Linked DNA regions of Tamandua tetradactyla. The protein of the gene in region 2 interacts with the protein of the main gene of each other region in a biochemical or structural test. Links are inferred from orthologs where the notes say so. Each region holds a gene or a part of one and is shown on either strand. Other genes may lie near its edges.

The links. The genes of interacting proteins can lie anywhere in the genome.
Region 1: the proteins of CRK (region 2) and RAPGEF1 form a complex in vitro, tested with the Homo sapiens proteins (4 studies listed by BioGRID, with this or other methods). The link is inferred for Tamandua tetradactyla from reciprocal best matches to the Homo sapiens genes CRK and RAPGEF1.

What each region holds. Positions count from the first base shown.
Region 1 is NC_135328.1:54,750,708-54,758,437, reverse strand, and holds the start of RAPGEF1 (rap guanine nucleotide exchange factor 1), read left to right. Parts: upstream 1-4,707; 5' UTR 4,708-4,737; coding exon 4,738-4,798; intron 4,799-7,730. UniProt on the Homo sapiens protein: Guanine nucleotide-releasing protein that binds to SH3 domain of CRK and GRB2/ASH. Transduces signals from CRK to activate RAS. Involved in cell branching and adhesion mediated by BCAR1-CRK-RAPGEF1 signaling and activation of RAP1.
Region 2 is NC_135332.1:55,230,131-55,238,169, forward strand, and holds the start of CRK (adapter molecule crk), read right to left. Parts: upstream 3,039-8,039; 5' UTR 2,897-3,038; coding exon 2,656-2,896; intron 1-2,655. UniProt on the Homo sapiens protein: Involved in cell branching and adhesion mediated by BCAR1-CRK-RAPGEF1 signaling and activation of RAP1.

The DNA.
Region 1 (7,730 bases), on a different chromosome or scaffold from region 2:
TCCTTAGTGTCTGCTGGCTGAGGTGGGAGAGGAAGGAGCCTTCGGGGTGGGTGGATTAGTGGTTGTTATGTGTGTGGACTCCTGCAAATGGTTTCCTGGTCCTTCAACCCCTGATGAGGCACGCTGCACTTCTTGCTCTTGTGTTTAGGGCATAAGACCCTGTGTTTTCAATAAATTCCCCCCTTTTCCAAGCCATTGTTGAGGTACTTTCTCTAACTTGTGGCCAAATACTCCCTGACCTAGACCCCAACTCCCAGGATTACTGTGAGGGTTGAAAACAGTGGTGAGCAGACGCCAGCCATAGGCAGACCTCATGACGGTCAGCCTCCATTATCATTACCACCAGTATTGATGGACTTCACTTTCTCTTCTGATCTGCAGTAAAAGGTTAATGAAACAATCATCTCTGTCCTTAGAAAATGGACAGTGAGTCGGGATGCTGAGGCAGGCACGTGCAAACTGATAGCCAACAACACACGCTGAAGTGAGTCCCAGAGCCTGCAGCCTCATTTTTGCCCATTCTCTACCCTTATCTCACTCAGTTCCCATTGTCCTAATAGTTGAATATTGTCTGCAAATGCCAAGAAGAGGTCATGACCCTTTTGAGGAGAGCCTGGTCTAAAGGAGGCTCTCTGCACAGGTTTCTGGTCACCTTGCTGTTTCTTCTCTTGTGGCATCTGGGGAGTTGCTGTAGCAGTCATTTGGCTAGGTCTTTCCCAGAACATTGTGAGAAAGCGTCATAGCAGCCATCATGTATTGACTGAGCTTCTTGTCTGTGCTGGTGTTAGTGATCCAGTAGTACATGAGGCAACATGGTTCCTGCCCAGGTGGAGTATGCAGTCCCCTGGAAGAGGCAGGTACTAAACAGACAACTGCATATGAAATAAGCGAATGTGGAGGCATGTGCTCTGAAGGTGAAGGGCAGGATGTGGTAAGGTTCTCTGTGATGGCAGAGATAGATGTCTGTCATTTTTGCCACATCAGCATCTCTTCTTCTGATATTGCTTTGAGGAACCACCCTTTCCCACTCCCAGGTTGCTGATTCGGTGGCCTTTACCCTCACGGTTTCTTGCAGTAGGTACAATTCCTAGGCCTTCTTGTCTGCAGTAACTGGTTCAGGGTTAGACATGTAACTCTCAAACCAGGCTAAAGTGCATGTGCCAAGGGGCTGTTTTTTGAACTATGAGGAAAGACATACTCATTTTCCACTGGGATTGTCAAGCTGGTTGGTGACAAGCCTAGGTCTGCTGGTGCCCACTTTTGCCACCACGTGGAGAGTGGTCATCTGAGAACAGAGCCAACACAGAGGAATAATGTCATTGTTTTAAGAGTCTAGCTTTAGATGTGTTTGGACCTGACTGTATCCCTGGTTTCCTAGTTATGATATTCAACACATTTCCTTTTTTGCTATAACCAAGCTGATCTGGGTTTTCTGACAGTGAAATCAAGGGTCCTGATCAACAGGGAACAGTCTCTCTGGGGAGAGCTGGGGAAGGACTCCTCGGTAGGAGTGACAGTCAAACAGAGAACAGAAGACTAGGAATTAGCTAAATGAAGAGGAGGGGAGAGAACATTCTAGGCAGAAGGAGCAGCATGTGAGAAGGCCCCAAAGAAGGAAGTAAATGGCTTTAGGAATTTGTTTGCTTCATTACCCGGTGTGTGTTCTGTTATAGCTATAAACATGTTTGATGAATAACCTTTATTAAATAAATGCCATGACCCTTATTTACAACAATATCCGTTTGAAAACTGCTCTATCATTTACAAAATCCCTTATCATTTGACATGTCATAATTTATTAAATATATTCAACAATTTAATTTATTCAAGAAACCCTGACTGGCAAGTAGCTAGAGTAATATCAGATAAAATAGATTTTAAATGTATGGCACCATAAGAGACAAGATTTTCAAATGTTATTGCAAAAAACATTTGTATCTTTACATATTCCTGAAATCAAAAACTTGAAAATGTTCAGTAACATAGGTCACTATAGCAAAGCTGATGTTTCTAATAACTGCCTACTTAATATTTTGAGAATGGATAGGTTTTTTCTTTTTTTTGTTTTATTTGTATACAGTTCTGATAGCTAATCAAATGATATTTAAGTTAGCATTTAATATTTAGAATTCAAGAAACTCTAATGTCTGTATCTCCAGATTTTTCCCTGTTTTGCCTTAATTTTAAATTGGTTTATGAAATTTACTGTATAAACATAGGCTATATAATGGTTATATTTTATTTAATATGCCTATGGATAAGCTAACCAAGATATCCATTTTTGGTGGTTAAGATTTTCATACATTAATTATAAAAAGTTTGTATTTTTATGTTTTCCTGAAATCTAAAACTTGAAAATGTTCAGTAACATAGGTCATTACTGTAGCAAGGTTGATATTTGTAACAACTTTTTACTTGATATTTTGAGAATGTTCACAGCTTTGAAAGCTGATCAAATGATATTTAAGTTAGCATTTAATATTTAGAATTTGGGGAACTCTGATATCTGTATTTATAGGTATAGGATAAGATGCTGGACCCAGAATCTTCTTTTACAGTAATAATTTTGAATGTTAATGGACTAAACTCACTAATTAAAAGACACAGATTGACTGAATGGATTAGATAATATGATCTATCCATATGCAATTCACAAGAGATTTATCTTAGACCAAAGGATTCTAACAGATTGAAAGTGAAAAGATGGAAATAGATGTTCTATGTAAGCTGTAACCAGAAGAAAGCACAAGTAGCTATCGTAATATTAGATAAAATAGATATTAAATGTTATGACAGCATAAGAGATAAGATTTCCATATGTTCATTGTAAAAACATTTGTATCTTTATATTTTCTTGAAAACCAAATGCTTAAGAATGTTCAGTAACAAAGGTCATTACTATAGCAGACTTGATGATTCTAATATCTTTCTATTGGTGTTTTGAGAATGTCTATAGTTTTAATAGCTAATCAAATGGTACTTAAGTTAGTGTTTAATATTTAGGATTCAAGAAATGCTAATATCTGTATCTGCAGATTTTCTTCCTGTTCACCTTAATTTTAAATTGGTTATGAAACTTACTGTACAAATACAGGCTTTACAATGATTATATTTTACCAAAAATGCCAAAAAATAAAATGTACCCTTCAGTTGCAAAAAAAAAAGTATAAGGACACAGAGCCAAACCACTTTGGAAATAAAGTATTGAAAATAATGCAAAAAAAAAAAAAAGAACCCCTGACTGGGCCTCATAATCATTCATTCTAATTTCCTACTTTGCACCTAAGTTTTCAGATTTAAAACATTAGTCCGTCTCAGCTCAGAAGCCTAGAAGGGTTAGGGGCAGCACTGCAAGTGGTTGGGGTGGTGGGCCTGTGGCCGAGGCCCTGTTTTGCCTGGTTATGAAGCTGCTGATAGGGTGAAGCAGTGCCACTCTGATTCAGAGCAGCCATTCATCAGCTCAAAAAGAGAAATGAATTTGTCAATCTTTGGCTTTGCTTTTGATCTCTTGAGTGCTAGGAGCTGACCACCTGAACTGACTACTCTGGAAATTTGGCTGCAATCTATGGTCAACTCTAAGTGATGGAATTAGTGATGCATCTGAGTGTGAGGGAGACGTGAGACATGGAATTGCTTGCAGTATCAACCATTCTTGCCTAATCCCTGCACCTCCTCAAATCTTGTCCCATCACCACCTTTTGAAACTGTTAATTCACCTTTATCAAGGAATTCTGGAGGGAAAATTAGTTGAGTTGCTTTTTGTTAATTTGTTTTCCATCTTGGGCCAAAAACAGCAAGCAAACAGGAGGCAGGGGATTTTCCCATGTTCGAACATCCCTTGTGTTATTAAAATGTATTGTTACTCAAAACTTGCATTATATGATTTAACTTTGACTAGTCACCTAAGATCTGAAGTATTTGGAGGGAAGAAGCAATTGTACATATTTTGTAGGACCTACAGCACCTAACAGCGCCTAGCCCTATGTAGGTTCTTTGAGTCTTAAATGAATGACTTTTAATGAACTCATCATCATGCTAAAAAGCAATGTTTGAGCTCCTGTGGTCCCCATCCGGAGGTCCAGTGAGCAGGGCAAGCTGGGGTCACTATGTTCCTGATGTGGTTGGACTCAGGCCTTGATCTGGAGACTTCAGCATCTGGGAAAGCCGAACCTCGAGTCGGGAGGGATCAGGCCTAAGCCCGCGACTAGTTCCTGGGGGTAGGGGATACTAAGTCCCGCGTGGAAAGGAGTGAGTCCAGGTTCCAGCAGCGGTTCTGGGTCTGCACGCAGCGCACAGCTCCACTGGGGGAGGGGGCAGTCCCAGACCTTGGCGTGAAGACTCCGGGCCGGCAGGGGGCGATGTGTCTCGGGTGGGAGGGTCAGATCAGTCTCCGGGCCGGCAGAGGGCGTCGGGCTCGTTCCGGTGCGGCGCCGGGGCGGGTGCCCAGTAGGTGGCGCTGTGGCCGCGGGCGAGGCCCGGCGAGCGGGCGGCGGCGCGGCGCTGGGGCCGGGCTCGCAGGCCAGGGAAAAGCGGCGGCGGCGGCGGCGGCGGCGGCGGCGGCTGCAGCTGAGGCGCGAGAGGAGGCGGAGCGGCGGCGGCCCCGGGGGTGCAGGAGCGCGCGATCGCCGAGCTCACAGGCCGTGGCCGCGCGGAACCCGCCATGCCGGCGCGGATCTGAGGCGCGGCGAGCGGCGGCCGTGCCGGCCTGTCGTCCCGCAGCGGCCCGGCCCGGGCCCAATGAGCGGCGGCCTCGGCCTCCGGCGCAGCCCGGAAATGTCTGGCAAGATCGAGAAAGCAGGTGAGGCGGCGGCGCAGAGTCGGCGGCGGCGCTGGGCGCCCGGGCTCTGGTCGTCGCCGTGCCGGAGCGGGGACCCAGCTCAGTTTGTCCCGCGCCGCGGGCCCAGCCCGAGGCCGAGGCGGATCCGAACTGCCCGGCGGCCCGCGTGGGCCCCGCGGCGCCGCCGCCTCGCTCTCCACCGGAGCCGAATTCGGATTTTTACCGGGTTTCGCGTGGTCCCTGTTTTTGCCCTGGGGAGCAGAAGTGAAACTACCGCCGAGGCCTAATTGGGGCGTTTTTCAACTTCACATTCAAAGGCCATTTTTAGCCGGTTGGCTGGTTCCTGCTCTGCTCTATTTTCAGTGTGCACAGACCGCCGCGGGGTAACGGTGCCCGGAAGGGTGAGCGCGAGGGTGGACACAACTGGCGTGACTTCTTTTTTAGTAGCATTTTGAAGGACGGTGGAGGTGGGAGGTTCTCCCTGCAGCCGGGGTCTCTTTTATGTAAGCTGCTTTGCTCTCCTAATGAACTTCCAGAAAAATGGCTTAAACCTAGAGAAGGGGGAAGAGAAACCCCAGCCGCGTGTTTAAGTGGCCCTGAAGCTCTGTGCTCTGCTCTGGGGTTGTCTTTTAGAAGGTGAATAGAGCCGAGCAATAAAATGTGTCCTTTCTAATGACCCTCGAGTTTAAATTTAACTTAAAGTATCCACTTCGGTTGCTTCAAAGTGAACAGGAAGGATGTGTTTTGGCATTTCTTCGGGCTCAGTCAAATTTTCCTCTGGTATCGAGTTTAAGCTTTGCGAGCAGGGCGTGTAGGGCAGCCGGTTGGATTTGGACAGCTTGTAAATCTTGGTGAAAACCCCATCTCTTTGTGTGTTCCTAGAAATCTTGAGGAGTTGCTTTCTGATTACCATTTTGCCTACACTGGGAATAGACTCTCCAAAGATTCAATTACTGTTGTGCATATGGGGCCCAGGGCTTAATTAGCCCTGAGATATACCTTGTGAAGTGAGGTCTTGGGTCTAAGGTAGGCATATGACCCAGGGCTTCTGACTGGGAACAGTGCTGGTTGTCAATACAGGTACCAGGTTAGATTGGAATTCAGATTGGAATCTGAATTATGGGAGGCAGCCTTTTAAGAGGCTGTCCAGAAAGGTTGCTAGCAGTGATTTTGGAAGTTGCTTATGTTTCCCAGATTGAAGAGAGATACTTTTCTGGCATGTACCTCTGGAGTGGATGCAGAACATAGTGTAACCCTTGCAGTCTGTGGTTTAAGCACAGAAAAGGAAGTAGCCTTTATCTAGGGTTTACTGTACATCTTCTGGCTCTGTGTCAGGTGGCCTTACATGTATTGCTTATTAAATCTTTGTAGATCCTCTGTGAGAGGCTCAGAAAGGTTAAAGGAGTTTCTGGAGATCACAGAATAAAAGGGCAATAGGGTTGGCTTTTATGCCTGGCTCCCTGGCACAAAGCTTGGTTGCCTTCTGCAAGGATGGGCAGTTTCAGGTGCAGTTTCTTGAGTGCTTTTTCTCACTGTTCTTCAGACCCAGGGGGCCCAGTGACCATGAGTCGTTTTCCTGCTGACATGCCATTCCAGAGATATCTCGGGTTGATCTGTACACTGTTCTCAGGAACTCCTTGCATACTCTCTGAGAACTGTACTGTTGAGGAAGTTAGATAATTAGCTTTAAATATAACGGGATTTTCTTTGATTATAAGAATAATATTGTCCATTGTCAAAAACTTGAAAATCATGGACAAGTAAAACAAACTAAGTGAAAAGCACCTACACCCTACAAGCTGCGTTCTGCAGCTCAGACTCTTACTGAATGAGATGAATCTTCATTTGAGTTTTCTATTACTGGAGGTGGGAGAACTAAGACATATTTTATTATTATTATTTCAGCATAGGCTATCCTTAGGCCTTCTGTGGGCACTGCTAGGTGCTGGAGTAGATGCAAAATCAGTATGTCCCTGCCTTCAGGGACGTTTGTCTGAGGGTGGGGGAGCTGGACCTAGGCTACTAGGCAGCAGAAGCTGTGCCACAGGTCAGGCCCTGTGGGCACAAGTGAGAGAGGGGTCTGTCAGCTGAGGAAGTTGGGAAGGCTCTGAAATGGACAATATTTGTGCTAAGCTTTAGAGAGGACAGGGTTTCCCTGGGTGGAGGTGGAGATGGGGAGAAAAGGGCAGAGTGGAAGGGGCTGACCAGAGTCTGTGGAAAGCACCAGTGGAAGATGGGTTTGGTGAGAGGTGGCTAAGCAAGAAAGTTCTCAGAGGTTGGCAAGACTAGGGTTGGCACCTCACTTAGGTACTAGAGATCATAGATGTGGCATTAGCTTAGAGGTTAAAAGCGTCCTTTTTTGCACAAGGTATTTTGCTAGAATCCATACACAATTGTCAAGGAAGAGTTAACTTTCTGGTGTTTTTTGTTGATCATTATAGGTGGGCTTTACTTTGCATTTCAAAGAGATTTTCCCGAGGGATTTCTGCTGGGGTTTTCTAAGTGATTCTGATTTTAAGTCATTCAAAGGAAAGGTCCTAAACTGAAATGACTAGCAAGTGGACAATCTCTAGTAAATTGCAGAGCTTGGCCCTCAATAAACAATTGTTGTTATTGGAATTTTGCTATTTTCTTTTAACTTTAAGCAACAGAAATGTTGCTGAAAATGTGTTCATAATTTCTTCTTTCTAATAATAGAAGGATCAGTTATTTTTACTTCTCAGGGTTTAGGGAATTCAAGCTTTTTTTTTTTCGGAGTGAAAAGAAAAGCTTCTTTTTTACGTGGTTTGCAGCACTGAGATTCTTGCCCAGTTCTCCATTCTACCTTTTTTGCTGCCTTTCCTGATATCTCCTTGCTGTGCAGCATTCTCTTTAACCACTGGAGGAGATTTTTTTAGTCTGTCATTGCTACTCTTCAATATATTAAGAGTACATTAATTATTCATTCAGCAAT
Region 2 (8,039 bases):
AGATATCCAAGAATGAGCTGGGACTCAGCATCAAGGGATTGAGAAAATCTTCTAACCCAAAAGGGGGAAGAGAGAAATAAGACAAAACAAAGTGTCAATGGCTAAGAGATTTCAAACAGAGTCGAGAGGTTATCCTGGAGGTTATTCTTACACATTAAGTAGGTATCACCTTTTTAGTTAAGATATATTGGAGAGGCTGGAGGGAAGTGTCTGAAAATGTAGAGCTGTGTTCCAGTAGCCATGTTTCTTGAAGATGACTGTATAATGATATAGCTTTCACAATGTGACTGTGTGATTGTGAAAACCTTGTGTCTGATGCTCCTTTTATCTACAGTATGGACAGATGAGTAAAACATATGGGTTAAAAATGAATAAATAGGGGGAACAAATGTTAATATAAATTTAGTAGATTGAAATGCTAGTGATCAATGAAAGGGAGTGACAAGGGGTAAAGAATAAAACAGGAGAACAAAGGCTAAAATATATTGGGTAGGTGGAAATATTAGCAGTCAGAGAGGGAGGGGTAAGGGGTATGGCATGTATGAGTTTTTTTCTTTTTATTTTTTTCTGAATTGGTGCAAATGTTCTAAGAAATGATTATGGTGATGAATATACAACTATGTGATGATATTACGAGTTACTGATTATATACCAAGAATGGAATGATCATATGGTAAGAATGTTCATGTCTGTACGCTATTGTGTTTTAAAAAAATAAAATTAAAAAAAAAAAAAACCTGGCAGAGAATAAGTAGTCAATAAATGTCAGCCTCTCTAAAACTAAAGAAATGTCTCAGTACGGTTTCAAAAGAAAAAGAGGTTAAAGGCGAAGGAGAGAACAAAGATGAAGTAATCTCTATAAAGACAGCAGCGAATCAACTGTCCTGCATGGAAATGGGGTACAAGGCAGAAAGAAGCATAATAACCATGAACCTTCCACATCCCATCCACCAACTTATGCAACTTTACCTTCTCTTTTGGGCTGAGGGTCTGAATTCTTAACTGTTTTGAAAAGGTGGAGCTCTATATCAAAGTAAGTGCTGAGATATAAAATCACAACACCAAGGAGTGGAGAAATCTCAAACTAACAAGTCACCCTGCTTCCATTTCTAATTTTGCAAACAACAAAATATATATATATATATATAAACAAAAGGTTGAGAATTACGTTCCATAGTGCTACTGTACGTGATGCAAAACCCTAGATAACCATTCAAATGGCTTAAAAGTAGAATATGTATATGGTTTAAGGCAAATTTAAGCTCCATCAGTAATTTCCTCTCATGTTATAACACTATGAAATCAAGCATTCTGAGAAAGACCTTGTGGACCTAAAGACCTCACACTCTTTTGTTTTTTTCAATCTTACCAACAAAAGATTGCCTATCCCATCTCCCCATTTCTGGCCAGAATGCTTAAATCTATCTTAAAAGAACAACCGCACAAAGGCTGGCTGGGAAGCCTCCTAATTGTATGACTACCCCGGATCTAGTCTCAGCTGGTCAGGAGGAAATTGCTTCAACTTGGGGAAAGTGAAATGACATTAGGACTCTTTGGTTACAGATTCTGATACTCTCAGAATGACCCTGTATCTCAAAGCTCTGAAGTACTATGTGCATAAATCTCCTTAATAGTCCCAAAACAATTCCAATGGCATGAATAGGAAAGTCACATCCCAATAATCCTTGGGAATGACCCAGTGCAGATCATTTAAACTCAGAGAATCTGCCCAGGTGGGCCTGTTACCAGCTTTCATGAAGACTCAGGTCACAGCCCCAATTTACTAAGCTAAGAAACATACTGAAGTACAAGACTGGCAATGTTCAGGTCCAAGGAAAAATGAAGTTTCATTCACTTTCTGGAAAGGGATTGTTTTCAGTACCTTATTTCTGGTTTATTTTCTTAAGAAATTCTTCCTCCACTAAACACCTTGAAAACGAGAATCCCTTAATTACAAGGGGGATAGTTTTTTGACCACTAAGATCTCTTGGTCAGCCAGGCATTTACTTTTTCTGGACTGGCCACAGAGGACTTTCTTCCATCACCTAAGCACTTAGCTCACCACCTTCGTCCTCCACAAGGGAAGAGGACGGTAAACGTATTTTGGAAACATGCCCAAGAAAGGAAAAAGCTGACTGATTTCCTGAGGGTGTCTCCAACCCTCCCGGCCAGTATGTGGTGACTTCCTACCAAAGGCCACCAGGGGAGTATGGCCAAACCCGGCTCTCTAGCACTGCAGGAAGTGTTTCAAGCCCAAAAGCCACTTGTAGGATTATCGGATTCATTCTGGGCACCGCTGCCAAGTGATGCCCCCGCAGTGACAACATCCCCCTCAGTCCTTTGTCCCCACACTGCTCGGCCCTGCCCTTGCAGCCTGGCCCGGCGTTAGCCCCACCCTGGGGCCGAAGCAGTTCCCCTTCCCCTGGGCCGTCCTCCCAAGGCACACCCAGAGGCCTCGGTCAGCGGCCCCTCCTCCCCCACATATTCCCGCTCGTCGGTGAGAACGAGCTTGATAACAGGGTGCCCCCTGCACGAGTCATGCCACCCTCTGCCCACGACCCGCGTGGGGTCAGCGTGCAAGGAGCAATCGGCCAGGTTGGAGAGTTCCGGGGCCCTCAACCCCCGCCCAGGGACCCCATCCCATCCTTCCCTCACCCGGCGGAGGCTGGGCGGGCGACGGCGGCACTGGCGGGCGCGGGCCGCTACTGTTGATGATGTAGTGGGAGACGCGCGAGTTCTCGGAGACGCTGAGCACATAGTCCCCGGGGCTGGTGCTTGAGTCCCGCACCAGGAACACCCCGTGCCGCTGGCCCTGCAACAGCGCCACCGCCTCTTGTCGGCTCAGCCGTCCCCAGTACCAGCTACTCCGCTCCTCCGAGTCAAAGTTGCCTGCCATGGCCGCCTCCGCGCCTACACGTAGGGCCGCCGCCACGCGCGCCCCTCCAGCCCCGACGCCCGCCGCCCAGCGGACCGGCTCGGGTCTCAGCCTCACAGAAGCGCCCGAAATGGCGGCGGCAGCCGCGGGCCTTCCCCACCGGAAATGACGCCACTCCCTGCCCGAGGGAGGCCGCCGGGAAGGGGACCGCAGCTCGCCATTGGGAGAAGGGCAAGGGAGAAGTCGCACGCTCAGTGCGCATGCGGCCTCATGGGCGTCGCCGCCTGGCTCAGACCTGGACTGCAGAGGGTGAGGAGGCGGAGTCTAGGAGGGAAGGGGCGGGGCCTAAGTCAGGCGTCCGCAGGGATTTGTGTTTGTTCTATTGGCCACGGGGGGGTTCTTCGGTCCTTTAGCTTTCAAGTTACTGGAAGACTCAGGGCTTCTCGACAGCGGCTCATAGAAGGAAGGTAGAAAAGGTGGCTGTGGCCCCAGGTCCCAAGGCTCCCTGAGAAATCTGGCTTTCTCTGCTGGTTCTTCTAGTTTCCGGCTAAAGTTCTTGTTTTCACTGATCCATTCAGCAGTTATTGACACTGAACTTGCTCTCGGGTGCAGAGGTGATCGAGGCTAGGCCCTGCCCTTACCAAATTCACTGACCAGTGAGAAGAACCAGGAAGCAGGCAAAATGACGAGAAGTGACAACAGCTATGATGGGGGCTCTAGGAAAACAGAGCAGGGCCCCTATCCAGTCTGTGGAAGGTGGCATTCAAGGTAAAGGATATCAGGCCAGTCGCTGTGGTCATCTGTCCTCTGTATTCCCGTGAGCATCCCTCCTTGCTGAGGGTCTTCAGTCTTACTGCCCCTGATTGCACATTGTGCCTGGAAGTAGCTGCCAGTGTGAATTTTTTAAATGAAAATCTGAATCTGTTACTATCTTACATAAAACCTTTAACACAGCCTTGAAGTGTTAAAATTCCCGTTTTACCTCACAGCAGAAAGTTGGATTTAGCCTCATCTTAACTACCATTACACGGAACTCTGTTCCTGGAAGATCCTTCCACCTTTACAGAATCTCAAACTCAAATGTCTCCCCTTTTCTTTCCACCCCATTCACTTCCTCTCTTTATTAACAAATACTGTTCATATTCTCCCATTACAGCTCTTACTCATACTATACATTTTCATTAACAGGCCTGTGTCATCTAGCTTAGTAGGCACGCAATAAATATTCCCTAATAACAGGTACCATTTATTCAGAATCCTACCTGCCAGACATCCTGCTAAATGTCTTTATGTGGATCATCTCATTTAATGCTAGCAACAACCTTATGGGTAGGTATTTTACAACTAACTCCATTTTACAGATGAAAATCCTGGAGCTCAGAGAGGTTAAGCAACTTGTCCAAAGTCACACAACTGCTGTAGTGAGGAACTAGGATTCAAATCCTAAAGGAGAGCCAGAGCTGTCAATCACTGCTATATTTTTAGAATTCTGGAATGGAAATCTTGGTAAGGAAAGGGTGAGGGACAGAAATCTATGTTAAAAAAAAACATCTGTCATACCTGGTTTATGACCTGTGAATAACACAACTCTTCCTGACCCCCTCCACACACTCCTGGGTCTGCTTACTTGAGGATTAGGGAGGGAAATCTTCCCTGCTGTGTGTGACTCATGGTGACCCTGGTTTACTCACAGCGTGTCACCATGTGCTAGCAGCAGAGGCCATCCCAGTGTGAATTCCAGCTCTTTGGGAATGAGAAGATCCTGCTCTTTATTTCCCCAGGAAAGCAGGGTCTTTGGGTCAGGACCTGTCTCGAAGACTGCCTCCGGGGATCTAAAGCCGTGCCTCCACCCACCCCCCTCGAGGCACGCGGTTATGACTATATATATTTATTTTAAAGAAGAAAAGGGAAAAAATGAACAAAAACCATAACTGAGTTGGAAAAGCAAACAAAGAGACAGAAGGGGCAACCAGCCCCAAGCAGCCACTCAAGTGGGTCCTTCCTGGAAGCATAGAGAATTGACAAATTTGGTGGGGGGCATAATGTAGAAATAGGAGTGGCTTTTGGAAAAACTAATTAATTCCAGAAGTAAGCAAACCCACTGTTCCCCCACCCGCCCACCTCCTTTCTCTCTTCCTCCTCCTCTCCTCTTCTGGCCCCTGATAAGCCTGAGATCTGCCCTACAAAGAAAGTGAACCCTTGCTGAGGAATATCTCTGCAAGGAGGTGGGTGAGATGGGGTAGGTGGGAAGGTACCTGAAAAAGAATGAGATGTGAAAGGTGAAAAGAAAGAAAAGCTGCCCCATCTGAGAGGAAAACACCAAAGTCCTCCGTTCTCCAAGCCACAAACCTGAACTGCAAAAGGCACTCCTTAGTTTAGAAATAGAGGAGGGCAGAGGGCAACAATCTGCCTACCTACTCTCCATCCTCTGAAGTGACCAGAGGATGTAGCTGTCAGCTACAGTCCTGCAGGTTGTAAGTGCTGCACACTTCCAGGGCACTGGGTAAATGGTACCCACTGGAGCGGAGTGACTTATACTTACTTTCCCCTTAAAAAAAAAAAAAAAAAAAAAAGGCTGAAAAGTTTATTTGTATCAGGAAGGCAAAAATTGCTGTTTAAAGGGAAAACTGACAGTTTGTGTGTGTGTGAGAGAGAAAGTGGGGATGGGTGGGGAGGGAGATGGGAACATAAACTTCTGCCCTGTTCTCACTCACATATGGGAACAGGGAAACAGGAAGGAAACAGGGAGATTTCCAAGTGTCTGCTAAAGATTCTGGACTATGAAAAAGAGAGCTATCTCATCCCTAGTGGGTAGCCCTTAGTTTTGCAGAGACAAGGACCACTCTCAAAAAGTGCAAAGGCACGGTCTGGAGGCAGGCATTAGGAGAAAATTCTGGGGAGAAATGTGAGGAGACTCCGAGAAGCGTGGGGAAATCGTGGGTGCTGGAAACACACACACAGGAGGCTGGTCCTTCCTTGTAAGGTCAGAGAAATGTTTCCAGAGGCCACATGGCTGCAAGGCTTTTGAGAACAAGGCTGGAAACTACTCAACTTTGAATTGTTTGCTTTGCTGCAGTGTAAACCCCCCTCATTGCATCTGTCCTTTGCGAAAGTGTGCTACTTACACTAATGCCTTTTGGGGGATGGAACCAAGCCCCCCACGCTGCTCCTTGCTTTGCACTTGTTTCTTCAGCCTGGAACACTCTTGCCCCTGAACAGCCTGTTTAAAATTGCAAACTGCACACCCAACACCCCCCTCCGCTTCTTTACTTAATTTTCTTAGCACTTACCATTTCTAATATATTACGCATTTTACTCTTTTATTTATTGTATCTCTTCCCCTCTGAATGTATGCCCAAGAGCAAAAGAAATTTTGTCTTTTTTGCTCCTGTTTCATCCCAAGTGCCTAACAGAGAGCTGACACATAGTAAGTAAGCATTTATTAAATATTAGAGGAATGAAAGGAATGGATGAATGAATGGAGTCCTGTGGAGGCTGTTACCCAGAGCCAGAATTAGCTCCCTAGAATTTGTAGATATCTCCTGGACGGCATTGGATGTCTCTCAGGATGTGAGCTGGGGTGCAAATCATTATGGGTTATGGCTCAAAAGGACAGAATGCCCTTAGCTGACATCTGATAATATGTGCAATGTCACTCTCAAACACATTCCAATTTGCTAGAGAAAGGAGTGTAGTTGCAGTTATAAAACTGGGAATGGCACCTAACTCAATGCCTATCTTATCTACCAGCTTCTTGGAGCCACTGTCACTACTGATAGAGTGGATAAGTTGTGTTCCTTTCATTTTCCATAGATAAACTCCCCCCCCCCCCCATAGATTAACTTTTGGTGGAGGTGTCAGAATCCAGGTGCATTCACAGGATTGTCAGTCAAGCCGCAGATAGCCATAGACTGCGTGGTACCTCGTTCCTTGAGAACTTTTGCCCTAGGTGATGAATCTAAACTCCTCTGGCAGGTAGCCTGGCCCCAAACCAACCTTTTCTTACCTGGAAGCCCTGCACACACCATTCCTTCTGCTCCCAATGCACCTCCCTCAGGAAAACTCTTAGCCATCTGCTGATGAACTCTGGATGTGGCTGATCTCATTCCCTTTTTTTTCTGGGGATAATGCTGATTTTCTTTGGGGGAGTCATTTGCTCCCATTGTTGGTCCTTGTGGTTGAGTGGGTGATTTGTGTCACTTTTTGCCTGGGGGTGGGTGGGTGGTGGGGGCACATGACCCAAGCCTGGCCAGAATGTGCTCTTCTCCCTACAACGGTGGGGTCAGGAAGGAGGCACCTGGTCCAAGTTGGGCCACCGAGAATCAGCTGAGATTTGGGTCTGAATTATTGGGAGAGGGGTTCTTTCTCTTTTGGGCTCCATTGCTCATTGTAGAATAAAAGCCTGGAACTGCTGGTGGCTGTTGCTCCTACCATATGGGAAGGTCCTGCCTGAGAATGAAGCCACCAGAGGGCTGAGCCAGGGGATCGTTCCACACACATTCCTACAATACTGAGCACTTGGACGCAGCTTTCCCTAGAACTATTAGGTTGCTAATGCTAATAAATGCCTTGTTTTGTCCAAGCCAGTGTGGGTGGGGTTTATCACCCCTCACCCTGACCTGAGGAGTCATCTTCTCATCAGTGTGCCTCTTGGACTGTTTCTGTTCACCATCCCGCTTGACCAGCTGAGGACCCTGTGGGCAGGGACCATGCATGAAGGATCCTTCCCCACTGCCCACAGCAGTGAGCCAGGGGCAGCAGGCTTTTAGTAAGCAGCTAGTGAAAGAGCGCGTCCATAGTACAGCTATTGGTCACTTCTACTCACTCCCCCCAGGAGTTGTCCTGGGGACGAGGCAAAAATGCAATACGAGGCTCCAGGTTACCTCCTAGGGGCCCTCTCCCTTTCCTAATATTCACAAGAAGACCAGTGTCGGCAAATTCATATTGCTTTATTTAGTGTTTCTCTGGATTACAGAAGTGTCAGCAGTGGGCTGAGACCCCCCAGGAGAGCACAAAGGTGGCTGGGTAGCCCCCGGGCCCTCTGGGCGGAAGCAGCAGAAAGAAGTGATGCCCCTGCAGCTCCTCCCAAGATCAGCCCCTTCCCCAGGCTCCCAGGCCAGGGATGGAGTCAGAGGCCAGGAAAGGTCCTACACCCCTGAGTTGG